3 linked regions of the Drosophila melanogaster genome follow. The protein of the gene in region 1 purifies or fractionates together with the protein of each later gene. This does not show direct contact. Each region holds a gene or a part of one and is shown in the gene's direction. Other genes may lie near its edges.

Region 1 (5,139 bases):
TTCGGTTCGGATAAGCGGAGCCCCATTGACAACCGCCATATCGAGGTGTACTACGAGTGCAGTGCTGTTAGATAAAGAAGCGACTCTCCCGATTTTGGTGGACCTCGAATCGCCCACACACTTTGTGGCTAACGATTAACCATAACAGCTGCGAATGGATTCAGTTTTATTACATTTTTGGCATCCAAATACCCATGTATCTGGGTTATTAACAGAACAAAGTACTTCTTCAAATACATCTTCAAGTACTTCTGAATTTATAGTTCTTGCACTTAATTGGCTAATAAGCATTGCGTTCTTTGTTATTCTAACAATAGTATTTGTAATTCGTTGTCCTATGCAGAAGTCTCACAGCTTTCTAACATTGTTTTCCTCATTTTCTCAGCAGTAGTTAACCGAAAAGAAAGGTCTTTGCAAATAATGACAACGCATCTTTACAATTGGTATCTCGCAATCTCGTCTGGCTAATTACAAATAAGCGTTATCCTAAGCCCCTAACTTACAAAAGTACATGTCTAATTAAAGCCAGTGGAGGGCCGACTACCAGGCCCAGATGTCTTCTGCTTGATCTTCTAATCGTTTTCCCGCGGCGGCCGCACCACCGCATGTCGTTTGATGGCCTCCACCAGCCACTTAATGCCCTCGTCCACGCCCTCGCCGTGCAGCGCGGATACGGGAATGGTGAGGCAATCTCGCCGCCCGATTAAAGCACCCGCCTGCTGGAAAACTGGCTTGATCTCCCGCACGCCCATCACATCCGGCAGATCCTGTTTGTTGGCCAGGATTAGCAAAGGCACTCCGGACAGCAGTTCGTTCTTGATCATCTTGTCTGTGGGGAAAGAGAATAACACATTTTAGGTGAACCTTTTTCCTTTTACCAGAGATCATCAGAATAGATCAAAACGAGTTTTGTTCAAGGGATTAGTTCGAAGACTGTTTTCGCTTACCAAATATCGCTTTGGACTCTTCCATGCGCTCCCTGTCGTTGGAATCAATCACGTAGATGACGCCATGCGACTCCTGGTAGTACTTATCCCAGAGAGATTGCAGCTCCTGCTGGCCACCAAGATCCCAGAAGTTGAGGCGTACGCCCTGCACGTCGATGGTGCCGATGTTGAGGCCCACCGTCGTCGTGATCTTGCTCGGATTGAGGCCCTTATAGTTACGCGTAAACGTGGTCTTGGCGGCCTCCAGGTAAGTCTACGTGGGCACAGGTGTTAGTTTCCGATTGGACATGAGGCTTTCATTGGATGATTCAGCTGCCTACCGTTTTGCCAGCATTGTCCAGGCCCAGGATTACCACGCAGTAGTCGTCCTTCTGAGTCATGTATTTGTAGAAGCCGTGCATCAATGTGTACATTGTATTGTGTTTTTGGCCAACAAAAACAAAAACTTAAATTGTTGACTGAACTGCTAGCGATGGCACTGCCAGCGGCTAGGGCGATGCGATAGTATCGATCGGGCAAGTGTCACTTATATCTATCTAATTATTAGGGGGATGTCTATAAATTATATTTTTAAGTATTGCACAGTTCTGTTAAGGTAATAAAAATAAATTATTCAAATTTTCTCTGATTGCCCCTGATTTTTATAAACCATATTGTAGTATTTTGATAAGAACATTCGAAATAATGGTCCAAATATGGAATGTCATACCTCGTTAAGCTCGTAATAAAATTTCAAATCAAACTGTGTTCAAAAATGCAAATTCAATTTTTTGACCATTTTTTGCAAATTTTGATGATGTTTGATGACCATTACCAATCCACTACCGATTCGCGTTCAAATTTGGAAAAAGCTATCGCTTTGTTATTTCTACCAATTTGGTTTTCTTACGTCTTAAGAAAAACGCAATATATGCAATCCATCCCTAAAAGGGACCATACTCTATAGCATTTTCTTATTAGCAGTCTGGCAACCCTACACACCCGTACGCTTGTGTGTGTCCGTGTGCGTGCGTGTTTTTTTTTTCGACTTTTCCATTATAGTTTTTGTGGCTTGCATATTGAAAAGTGATTTCACATAAGAATTGATTCGCCACAAATAACAGATAAGCTATGTCGCTATCAAGCCTGCTGCCCACGCCGACGAACGCGATCTGGGATCGGGAGGACGAGCGTCGCCTGGTCGCCCGCGGAGCACCAAAGATCGGAGCCCTGGTCTCCGCCAAAATCGCTGCTCCGCCGTACGGACAGCGTAAGGATTGGGTACCACATACGGATGCGGACTTTGGCGATGGCGGCGCCTTCCCGGAGATCCATGTGGCGCAATATCCACTAGGTGGGTTCCCGTTCGTGCTAATCCCACTTTCTCTGTGCTTGCAAACAATGTTGTCGCGGTTTTTCGTTGGTAATGGTGTCCTCGTAAGGGAAATAACCATTAGCTTCTTATATGTGGGTGATTGTACAGCGAGAAGGCTTCAATTTCCACCACATTAAGTTAAACGTTTGCTGTAGAATGTTGTATTTTTGTATTTTATGATCAGCATTTTGAAGCGTGGCTTATTCAATTGAAACAATTTCTGCGTCTTCTTCATCTTCTCGACAGGTCTGGGAGCACCAGGAAATGTTGGCAAGAAGTCGGATGCTCTGGCCGTTCGCCTGGACGACAAGGGAAAGGTTAAATACGATGCCATAGCACGCCAAGGACATGGCAAGGACAAGATTGTGTACTCGTCCATTTCGCAACTGCTGCCGGCGGAGGTGTTGGCCGAAGATGCGGATGAACTACAGCGCCCGGACGAGGAAACGGTGATGGAGACGACGGAGGAGACGCGCCTGGCGCTGGAGAAGCTGACCAACCAGAAGATCACCTCAGCGCTGCCCGTGCGCCATGCCCAGAAGGCGGGTCCCGCCCAGTACATTCGGTACACGCCCTCGCAGCAGGGCGATACCTTCAATTCGGGCGCCAAGCAGCGTGTCATCCGGATGGTGGAGGCGCAGCTCGATCCGATGGAGCCGCCCAAGTTCCGCATTAACAAAAAGATTCCACGAGGTCCACCATCGCCGCCGGCACCTGTCCTCCACTCACCATCGCGCAAGGTGACGGTCAAGGAGCAAAAGGAGTGGAAGATCCCGCCCTGCATATCGAACTGGAAGAACGCCAAAGGTGCGAGCTAATGTAAAACTAGAATCCTCTTCATTATCCTAATTAAATCTTTGCCTCGATATCAGGTTACACCATTCCACTGGACAAGCGTCTGGCAGCCGATGGACGCGGTCTGCAGCAGGTGCACATCAACGAGAAGTTCGCCAAGATGGCCGAGGCGCTGTACATAGCCGATCGCAAGGCGCGCGAGGCGGTGGAGGCACGCTCCCAGCTGGAAAAGAAGCTGGCCCAAAAGGAGAAGGAGAAGAAGGAGGATATGCTGCGTATGATGGCGCAGCGGGCTCGCGAAGAGCGAGCGGGACTACGCAATCCGGAGGCAGCCGAGCCATCTGGTTCCGGAGCTACAGGATCCGAGGTGCGTGAACGCAACGACTTGCGGGCAGAGCGGCAAAGGGAGCGCCAGCGGGATAGAAACCTGCAGCGGGCGGCTCCCGAAAAGCGATCGAAACTGCAGAAGGAGAGGGAGCGTGACATTTCTGAGCAAATCGCTTTGGGTCTGCCCGCCAAGAGTGCCGGCAACGGTGAAACGCTCTTCGATCAGCGTCTATTCAACACCACCAAGGGCATGGACTCCGGTTACGGTGATGACGAAGCGTACAATGTGTACGACAAGCCGTGGCGCGATTCCAATACACTGGGCGCTCACATCTACCGACCCAGCAAGCAGGCGGATAGCGATAACTACGGCGGTGATCTGGATGCCATTGTAAATACCAAGCGTTTCGTGCCAGACAAGCAGTTCTCCGGTGCCTCCAAGGAGGCGGCCGCTGGCCAGAGGAGTGGACCCGTTGAGTTCGAGAAGGAGGAGGATCCCTTCGGTCTCGATCAGTTCTTGAACATGGCCAAAAAGGCGCCCAAGCGTGCCGAGGAGAAGAACAACGAGCGCAGCAGCCATTCGGATCGCAAGCGCAGCAAGCGCGATTAGACAAAAGCTTTAGCGTGAGGATTACCAATCATCGTTGTATCGTCATCATCATCATTGCAAACACTATTCACCATTCACCAACCAAACAAACGTTTTTTTTAACTACTCCAACAACTTGGCGAGAATTTCAATAATAATCACAGGATCTTGACATAAACATGAATGTGTAATTACGGGTTATTTGGCATAAGTGCGCTTGGAGGAACCTCAATCAGCACACATCCGATCCAGAATCACAGATTGGTCAGTGAAAGATCAGTGGTGTGACCACATACGGCGATGGTTTGATTGCTCTTCACGTGCGCATCCATGCGGGAGAAGGTATAAGCCGAGGGAGCAAGGATACTGGCTTCCGGATCTAGAATATAATACAAAATAAGCAATAGTATGATAGAAACTTTTAAAATATGATGACCATCTTTTTGGCGCCTATAATCAAAGAATAAAGTGACCCTCTTTTGCCAATAAGCTTTCTAGCGGACCTTTTTTGTAGTGTTATACCACTCCGTTGAATTCCGTTAAATTAATAGGAATGCAAATAATGTATTTAAGAAATAACCAATCCTAAGGTACTTGATTAAATGTAACAGTAATTGACTGTCACCCTGCCTACATATATTATTCCAAATTATGTTTTCTTAAACTTGCAAATTTGTTCACTACGCAAAATATAAATGAAAAACAGTATTTCGCCGGTATTTTTAGAGCAGCTTTATCGTCCGCACGCACGCTGGTCACACTGTGTGACATTGAGTTGACTTTAGTTGCATTAGTTTAATTGCAATTTTATTCGATTTATTCGCAAATAAGTGAGCAGCCCAACGTCGAAACTCGAACGGCAACGGTCCACACCGCCATCCGCCGCATCCCGGAGAGAATGCGCTGTCCTCGCGGCGAATTCCACGGATTCAACGGCTTCTAGCGGCCGCGAGGTGTTCCGAGGAGCTCTGGGATTCTAGCACCACCTCCTCCACTCCGCCGAACCACAACAAACGATCCACAGCGATCCCAACCGATCTGATATTATGTAAGTTGAGCGTGCCCGCGTCGTGGATGGTAAACAACAATCATATCATCGAAGGCACCCTATTCCATACGCCCAAGCA
Region 2 (4,932 bases), on another chromosome or scaffold:
AAATGATATTAATATCCACAAGCAGCTTCAACTTTTAATAATTTGGAACACTTGATGTAGGAAATGCATTTAACTTGGATTTTAAGTTGAAAAACAGGTAGTATTTCAGAGAATTATGAGTTTTAAATAGTTTATGGCCGCAATAACTAACTTCTATAGTATGGTTTTCTTTTGAAATTTTACAAAGAGTTATATACTATATAAACTTCTGGCTGATATCCATTGTATAGACCAGCTTTCTTGTGACCCCGTTTATGGCCTGAAATTTGGCCATGTGGATCGTTAAAGATAGGTCCAACTAAAGGTTCAGATGTGTGTAATTACTCGACTTGGCCAACTCGGAATTTTGCTGGCCGGCTTATGTATGTTACGTTAGCCGCCTCAATTTCTTTGGAAGTTCAAAAAACAAAAAAGAAATCCGGTTTTGGACAATTGAAATTTGAAAATAATAAACCACACATGCGAGCGTAGTCGTACGTAAAGTGTTTTTTGTTTTTGTTTTGTTTTTATTGCAATAAAGCCGGTGTTAATTGTGCTCTGGGGTCAAAAACTGCCGCTGACGTCATCAACTCGTCGTTGCAAGACAGTGAAAGGGTTAAAATTTCAAAACTGGGGGGCTTGCTTGTATAACTTCTTTGGTCACTAGTGCGATTACATAGGATTTTGTGGATTAAGGAACGTATGTCCATATGTCTGAAACTTCTTGCTTAAGGAACGTTTTTCGGTCTGGCATCATAGTATTATCCCCAAACTGGGTAAATTCGGGGACGATAGAATCCGCCTCCGTAGGAGCGATATCCGCCGTAGCCGCCGTAACCGGAATATCCGCCGTACTTGTAGCCACCTCCATAGCCGCCGTAGTAAATTGGCGATGGAGCTGCATAGTAGCCGTAGCCAATGGAGTCCGCGGTGGAGAGATCAGCCTCCTCAGCGGGTTTCTTGTCCTGCCAAGCGAATGGATTTTGTTGGTTGGTTTTGAAATGGAAAAACTAAAGATATGACCTACCTCTATAGGAGCTGCGCTGATGAATCCGATAATAGCCAGGCACAAAAGGATGGAAAATAACTGAAAATGTTCACAACATTTACTCATTATGATAGAAACACTTTTTGTTTGTGTGTAATACCTTTGCCATTGTTGCTTTTATTTGCGAAATTTAACGGGGATGCACTCTAGATTTTATGTTTTTCTCTCAAATTAGCAACTTTTCCCGATCGTGTTCTGGCCAGAAGCGTTGTTGTCCGTAAACTGTGATCCCCAGCGACCTGCCGACAATATTTATAGTGGCCCAAAACGTCCCGGGGATCGATTTTGCACATGATCATTGATTGGACAAACATTCGGGAGTCTGGGGATGTCGTTACCCGATGCGAAATGAGGTGTTTCATTATCACAGATGACTCGATGGGATCTTCCAATTCGGTTATTTGAATTTCTAAGCTACAGTGAGCATTAGTTAATGGCCAAAGAAAAAGTTATTTAGTGTTTTATTTATTCGGTTTGTTGTTAGCTAAAGTCGACTGTGTGTTCTTATTTTTACCAGTCATCAACAATAATATTGACGCACTACACTAATTAAGTTCCTAATTATTAATATTAACACATTTGTTGACGAGCTGATTCATTGATTTAATTACAAGGATTTAGCCTTAATTAAAAATGCTAATGTCTCGATATTTTTTACTACTACAATACAAAGTAATTTAAGTGAATAAGGCTAATTAGTTTTAGTCGTCGCAGTTTTGGTGAATTTGTAATATATTCCCCAATAACACCGTTATTTAAATTTTCAAATTTGCTCGCACTTTGTGTGGTTATCTTGACTGCTTTTTACCACTAGACTGTTTAGCAATTCACCTAATCTCTCGATAGACGATAGATGTCTTATCGATTGAGTGATGTGACCGTTCTACTATTCTATAAATGGCTGCCGCATGAAAAAGTAAACCTCTCGTTTTGCGAACCGGAAAAATTGTGAATTGCGGCCAAAGAAAGGCAGAAAAAGTGCCAAATAGGCAGTACAGTTGCAAATTAACTGCCAGGTAAGATATTCAAACCAAGATTAGCTGGGGGAAAAGCGAAATTTACGCTTTTTCACAGCGTGGTGAAAATTGCAAAAGACCGCGACGTCGGCGGCGGCATTTCGATTTCTCCCCCTGAAACAAAACGTGTCTGTGTGTCGTAAAGTGTATGTTTTTCGTCGTTTATTGATTAGGATAAGTGCCGCGGAACGATGTCCATTCCGCCGTACATGATACCACAAAATGCGTGGGCAGCCCAGCTGATGGCCCAGCAGGCCTACGCGGCTGCCCATGCTCAGCAGGCTCAACTGCACGCCCAGCAGCAGATGGCCAACCAAATTCAGCAGATTCCGCCACCGGGGGCTCCGCTGCCGCCGGCCGGTGGCCATACCAACGGTATACCCATCCCGGTGGGAGGTCAGGGACCCGGATTGGGCCAGATTCCCACGCCCAAGCCGGACATACTCACCGAGGAGAAGCTGCAGGAGAAGGCGCTTAAATGGCAGCATCTGCAGTCCAAGCGATTCGCTGAGAAGCGCAAGTTTGGCTTCGTGGATACCCAGAAGGAGGATATGCCGCCGGAGCACATCAGGAAGATCATTCGCGATCACGGAGATATGACGTCGCGCAAGTATCGTCATGACAAGCGAGTATATCTCGGCGCCCTGAAGTACATGCCACATGCTGTGCTCAAGCTGCTAGAGAACATGCCAATGCCATGGGAGCAGATCCGGGATGTCCAGGTGCTGTACCACATCACTGGAGCCATTACCTTTGTCAATGAGATTCCCTGGGTTATTGAGCCCGTCTACATAGCACAATGGGGGTAAGTTGACTTTAACTTGTCCTCGTGGACACAACTGACGTTAAACACTTCCGCAGTACAATGTGGATCATGATGCGGCGTGAGAAACGCGATCGTCGCCACTTTAAGCGCATGAGATTCCCGCCATTTGACGATGAAGAGCCGCCTCTAGACTATGCCGACAACGTGCTGGACGTGGAGCCCTTGGAGGCCATTCAAATTGAGCTGGACAATGACGAAGACAATGCTGTATACAAATGGTTTTATGACCATCGTCCTCTAGTGGATACACAGTGAGTTTTGATTTGTCATTTATATCTGATCTTGTTTTGATTCATTTATTACCATCTAAGGTTTGTGAACGGCACTACCTACCGAAAGTGGAATCTTTCCCTGCCTCAGCTAGCCACGCTGTATCGATTGGCCAATCAATTGCTCACCGATCTAGTCGACAATAACTTCTTTTATTTGTTTGACCCAAAAAGTTTCTTCACCGCCAAGGCTCTTAATATGGCCATTCCAGGAGGACCTAAGTTTGAACCCCTCATTAAGGACCACAATGTTGGGTAAGACAATGCATACCCTAAATACTTGTTAAAATGTAATTCCTGCTTTTATTTAATTTTAGGGACGAGGATTGGAACGAGTTCAATGACATTAACAAAGTCATTATCCGGCAGCCAATTCGCACGGAATACCGCATTGCCTTTCCTTACTTGTACAACAATATGCCACACTTTGTGCATTTGAGCTGGTAAGAGTCCACATTCTTCAAAAATTACCATTCTAAAATCTTATTTACGTGGTTAGAAACGTTTCCAAGTGATCAGCCTCTCTGGAAATGCTTCATGCCGCGTTAGAAAAACGACGAGCTCCCAGGTTACTGCCAAATTTGCGATAAAACGGGAGCTGCAATGAATATGTTCGTGGCGATTGTTAAGAATTAATCGTGACTGCTGATAGTTGCATACATATAAACTCATTTGTAGCTTAGAGGATCCACATGACCACATGATGTACTTTGTCTATTTCAGGTATCACACTCCCAACGTGGTCTACATCAAGACCGAAGATCCCGATCTGCCTGCATTTTACTTTGATCCGCTCATCAATCCCATATCCCATCGCAATGCAAACTCGAAGATTCAGGAGCCCCTACCTGATGACGACGAGGACTTTACTCTTCCGGACGACGTGCAGCCGTTCCTGCAGGACACTCCCCTGTACACTGACAACACTGCAAACGGAATCGCCTTGCTGTGGGCACCCCGCCCCTTTAACATGCGCTCTGGTCGCTCCCGTCGTGCCATCGATGTGCCGCTGGTCAAGTGCTGGTACAAGGAGCATTGTCCACCTGGCCATCCGGTTAAGGTGCGCGTTAGCTACCAGAAACTGCTCAAATACTATGTGCTCAATGCCCTAAAACACCGCAAACCAAAGCCACAAAAGAAACGGTGAGTTTTATTTAAATCAAACTATAGAAACGTTTTGAATTGTATCCTTACTTTGCAGCTACCTCTTCCGTTCGTTTAAGGCCACAAAATTCTTCCAGACCACAACTCTGGATTGGGTTGAGGCTGGACTGCAAGTTTGTCGTCAGGGATATAACATGTTGAATCTATTGATTCACCGAAAAAATCTTAACTACTTGCATTTAGATTACAATTTCAACTTGAAGCCCGTTAAAACTCTGACCACCAAGGAGCGTAAGAAGTCGCGATTCGGAAATGGTAAGCAGTTAAATTTCTAAAAATTTCCCTTTTATCAATTCCTTTCATTCCTATTAGCTTTCCATTTGTGCCGTGAGATCCTGCGTCTGACCAAGCTAATCATTGACTCTCATGTTCAGTATCGGCTAAACAATGTGGACGCCTTTCAGTTGGCTGACGGACTGCAGTACATATTCGCCCATGTTGGCCAGCTGACTGGCATGTATCGCTATAAATACAAGCTGATGAGGCAGATTCGAATGTGTAAGGATCTGAAACATTTGATATACTATCGCTTCAACACGGGGCCCGTGGGCAAGGGACCCGGATGTGGCTTTTGGGCACCTGGATGGCGAGTCTGGCTGTTCTTTATGCGCGGCATCACTCCGCTACTGG
Region 3 (4,523 bases), on another chromosome or scaffold:
TTGGCCACCTGAATTTGTTGCTTTTTTGGAGGCTGTTTTTGTTGCTTCTTCTTGGGCAGCGGCGCCTCCTGGAAATCCTCCTCTAAGTCGTCATCTGCGGGTCGAAAAGTGAATCTTACATATATTTATTAGGCACACACGTTTTTAATCGTACCCTCATCCTTGGCCACATGCTTTTTACTGAGTTTCTCCGGTTTTTTACTGGGTTTATTGCCATTTTGTTTGGGTGGCTCCTGCTTTTGGGCGTTCTTGTTTCCCTTCTTCTGCGAGAGCTCCTTCTTCATCTTCTCCCGCTTAACGATCTTCTTCATCAGCAGCTTCTCCCGAATAGACATATTGCTAACTATGTATGCTTTTTAATAGAGTTTAATGGTTAAAAACAGAATTCTCAAATAAAATATTGCGCGCACGTGTTGCTAACCATTCACCCCGAAGCAAACGATATTCAGCCAGCTGTGCCTATCGATAATTGCCAATTCGATAGTTCAATGCAAAAGGTGTGACCCTATTTGTAAACAAATTTTCAACCGTCTTTTGAGGATAAGAGAAGCAAAAGCGTTTGCAAAACGTATTTTATATCCATTGTACATTGCTATCTTCAACTATGTGACTTGTGTATTACGAGTTAACAATATTTTTTGTAGACTATCTTATGATAAGGAAATGTGAATTCCCATTTTGAATGGAATACGTCAATCACATTTTCTTATAAGATCGTACAATTCCGCGTTGACACATATTAATTTAGTGTGCGATTTTTATGCTCTGTCCAACCTTGGAATAACATGTGAATAATTACAATAAAGGCACATCTTTGTCGCTCTCCAGCACATTAATTACTAGTATCGTAACAAAATGCATATAAAGTGCATATAAGTGAATGCGTTCTAGTGCGACATTATCTGCTCCACCCTCTTGCGCAGATCATTGCGACCACAATCGCCCAGGGCGCGACACAGACGAAGCAGAAAGTGCTTGGGATCGTGGCAATCATCCTCTTCGATGAGCTGCAGCAGTCGCAGAATCTGGGACTTCAAGTCGTGCGGGTAGCGCTCCTCGATTGTGTCCATTTGGCCCTCGCCAATGCCCGCCGATCGGCCCAGTCGTCGCCAATAGCGACCCAGTTCCTCGGATATTTTCTTAAAGACCATCGTTCGTTTGTGATCCGTAAAAGCAGCTGGGGTGGCATAGTTTTGGATTGCTGTTGGAGGCACAGCGGCAGCTAATTCCGAAACTGATGGCTGAGCATTCTGGGAAGCTGGAGCAATACGGAGCTGCTGACGAAGTTCCTCGGCCAATCGGAGTTCCTGGTACAGATTAACCGGATGTCCAAGAATGTTTTCCGGCTTTGTGTAGGCGCTCAGAGCCTCGATGAGCTGTGGCATATTGCCTGATATCCGGCGCAGTGGCTCCACATTGTACTCCGATAGTTCGTCCGCTCGTTCCAGGCAGTCAATTAAATCCTCGATGGTTCGTATGCAATCCGATCTGCGTCGCGAACCAATCTCTTCGACAAAAATTAGTTTCAACTGCTCCACGTTCTCGGTGCATCCATCAATGGCGATTTGTTTGAGGCTGTCGTAGCTCCAGTGCCTGCCTGCAGTCATTGTGACTAATTTACAGAGACGGTATTTTCAGCGGTCTTAAGTTCCCAAAATGTATCAACGCAACTTCACTCCCTGATGTAGTATGACCGTATGGCCAAACATTTCCTTACCTGTTATCGATCAGCACTGAATAGGTGTTTGAGCAAAATGAGCAAAAAAATATCAAATACTATTTCCATACAACTTAAAAAATTTAAAATAAGCTTTAAACTTGCACCACCTTGCATGTTTGGGATCTATTAGTGAGACCGTTACATAGCCATTCGATAACATCGATAACAGATGGCACGCACCATCCCTAGTTTTGATAGATATATATTTATGTTTTTGTTACTTTTACTGAAGCAACTAATGATAAACGCAAACGTGTAGACGAATGGAAATATCCATTAACGTTTTCGTATTCCTCCTCTACACTCTGGTCTTGATTTACCTTCAGCATTTCGTTAACAAGTACACAGAGTTCGTCCGCAGCCTCTAAATGTTGGGCCTTCAGTCATACGCCAGTTCCTCGGATGAAGAATCGGACCATGCGGACGCCGCCACAGCCACCACGAATTCAGAGCCCTCCGCTCCCATTCCGGATCACCTGCTGCCCGTGGACAAGACACACTCGCTATCCAAGTCCATTGCTGTTTGTGCGGCGCCAACGGTGGTTCCCCTTGGAGCATCGGCCGTGCCCCGAACTCTGGATCCCACGCTCAAGGAGGTAACCTACAATCCGCGCTATGAGGAGATGTATGCTCCGGTAAAAGGTCCGGAGCATCCGGACCTCACCATGCAGCAGCGCGCTCCGCGGAACACCCTAGCCGGCTACGTAGAGAAGGCCCACATCAATGCCTTCGAATTTGAGAACCAGCGACGCACCTTTCACACCTACGGCTACGCATTGGACCCCAGCGTAGACGATCAGGCGGACGGCCAGTCTTTTGTGGGTGACCTGCAGTCTGCGTACGATGACAATGGCAAGACGGTATTTGAGCCGCCCAAGGCAAAGAAACTGCGCAAGCAGGAGAAAAATGATAATCCCGAGGACATTGAGGGCTTTCTGGGTCCCTGGGGCAAGTTCGAAAACGAGGTGTCGGTGGCAAAGCCAAATGAACAGGAGCGCGCCGAACTGGACGAGCTGCTGTCTAAGCGACATAAGCGCGGACGCATTCCCGAGGATAAGCCGCTCGAGGAGAAGTCGACGCTGCACAGTGAGTTTAATCCAATAGCCACCGAATATATATCGTTAATAATCTTTTCCTTTTTTGCTCCACAGTCAAGGATGCGTACGACTATCAGGGCCGCTCTTATTTGCATGCTCCTCATGATCTGGGCGTGAATCTACGATCGAATGCACCACCGACCAAATGCTTTCTGCCCAAGGCGCACATACACACCTGGTCGGGCCACAACAAGGGCATCTCCTCCATCCGCTGGTTCCCCAAGACCGCTCATCTTCTGCTCTCCGGATCGATGGACTGTCGCGTCAAACTGTGGGAGGTTTACGGCGAGCGACGCTGCATACGCACCTTCTCCGGTCACCGGCAGGCCATCAAGGATATTGCGTGGAACAACAGGGGTACCAACTTCCTGTCTGCCTCGTATGATCGCTACATAAAGTTGTGGGATGCCGAAACGGGCGATGTAGTGTCCCGATTCACAACGCGTAAAATGCCTTTCTGTGTGAAATTCCATCCGGATAATAGCAAGCAACATTTGTTCGTTGCCGGCACCTCCGACAAGAAGATCATTTGTGTAAGTAAAATTTACAAAAGTAGATGCTCATGTTACAATTGTTTTCCTATCAATTCGCAGTGGGACACTCGCAGCGGTGATATTGTACAGGAATACGACCGGCACTTGGGATCTGTGAGCACCATCACCTTTGTGGACGACAACCGACGGTTTGTGACCACCTCGGACGACAAATCGATGCGCATATGGGAGTGGGACATTCCTGTGGACATGAAGTACATTGCCGACCCCACTATGCATTCCATGCCGGCGGTCACATTGGCGCCCAATGGCAAATGGATGGCCTGCCAGTCGTTAGACAACAAGATCGTCATCTTCTCCGCCCTCAATCGCTTCAAGATGAACCGCAAAAAGACCTTCACCGGTCACATGGTCTCTGGCTACGCCTGCCAGCTGGACTTTTCGCCGGACATGAGCTATCTGGTGTCGGGCGATGGCGATGGCAAATGTTATATTTGGGACTGGAAGACGACGAAGATGTACAAGAAGTGGCAGGCGCACGACGGCGTCTGCATCAGTGCCCTCTGGCATCCGCATGAGGCCAGCAAAGTGGTCACCGCTGGCTGGGATGGCCAGATAAAATACTGGGACTAATGGTCCGCACAAAATAACATAGATAGATGTAAGCCAAACTGATGTGTAAATTGATTGATTATATTGCTTACCCATTATGTTCCAATTGAGCTCATTTAATTCATGTGTATCAAGCCCAATTCCTAAGTTATTTATCCATCCGGTTGCTTGATATTCCCTCCCCCCTTTGCGAGATTGGCTTTTATTTACCTTCAGTTGTGATAAGAGTACGCATGCGCAGTGCATGTGAAATGGCAAACAACTCGACGGATGGTCGGCCCACCACCCAATGGCCCAGCCACCCCCACTGGCAAGTCAAAACATATGCGAGTAGTGCTGGCCAAAATCGATATTTTCCACGAAAGTCGCACAAACGTCGGACGGATTGTGGAAGACTTGTCAATAATCTGTAAAAAAAACGCGAAAAAAAAAGAGTTCTACGGCGTAGAGGAGATGCAGTAAAAGGCGACGGCTAGGTGGACACCGAGCATCAGCTAGACACCCGTAATTCCTGCCAGCGGCCATGGCCAAGCCCCACTCGGATGCGGATGCCTCTGGCCTGGGCTACGCCTACCAGCTGCCGTCCGGCGGCCTCCTGCT

The links. The genes of interacting proteins can lie anywhere in the genome.
Region 2: the proteins of Bx42 (region 1) and Prp8 purify together in Drosophila melanogaster (affinity purification with mass spectrometry, with the first as the bait; one large-scale study listed by BioGRID). This does not show direct contact.
Region 3: the proteins of Bx42 (region 1) and CG6015 purify together in Drosophila melanogaster (affinity purification with mass spectrometry, with the first as the bait; one large-scale study listed by BioGRID). This does not show direct contact.

The regions. Positions count from the first base shown.
Region 1 is NC_004354.4:9,103,366-9,108,504, reverse strand, and holds Bx42 (Bx42), read left to right. Parts: upstream 1-1,900; 5' UTR 1,901-2,057; coding exon 2,058-2,280; intron 2,281-2,547; coding exon 2,548-3,108; intron 3,109-3,173; coding exon 3,174-4,033; 3' UTR 4,034-4,635; downstream 4,636-5,139. Other genes in the region: Arfrp1 (ADP-ribosylation factor related protein 1), read right to left, coding at 573-829, 948-1,200, 1,268-1,360. UniProt on the Drosophila melanogaster protein: May play a role in chromatin structure and function.
Region 2 is NT_033778.4:12,159,996-12,164,927, reverse strand, and holds the start of Prp8 (pre-mRNA processing factor 8), read left to right. Parts: upstream 1-1,929; 5' UTR 1,930-2,043; intron 2,044-2,216; 5' UTR 2,217-2,234; coding exon 2,235-2,848; intron 2,849-2,904; coding exon 2,905-3,120; intron 3,121-3,180; coding exon 3,181-3,393; intron 3,394-3,455; coding exon 3,456-3,581; intron 3,582-3,624; exon of another isoform or gene 3,625-3,802; intron 3,803-3,861; coding exon 3,862-4,281; intron 4,282-4,339; coding exon 4,340-4,557; intron 4,558-4,614; coding exon 4,615-4,932. Other genes in the region: CG13177 (uncharacterized protein), read right to left, coding at 741-944, 1,007-1,066, 1,128-1,136.
Region 3 is NT_033777.3:22,031,647-22,036,169, reverse strand, and holds CG6015 (uncharacterized protein), read left to right. Parts: upstream 1-1,883; 5' UTR 1,884-1,983; coding exon of another isoform or gene 1,984-2,088; coding exon 2,089-2,806; intron 2,807-2,871; coding exon 2,872-3,350; intron 3,351-3,410; coding exon 3,411-3,944; 3' UTR 3,945-4,020; downstream 4,021-4,523. Other genes in the region: pit (pitchoune), read right to left, coding at 1-94, 155-335; Fadd (Fas-associated death domain), read right to left, coding at 888-1,607; CG45099 (uncharacterized protein), read left to right, coding at 1,984-2,088; CG13409 (uncharacterized protein), read left to right, coding at 4,447-4,523.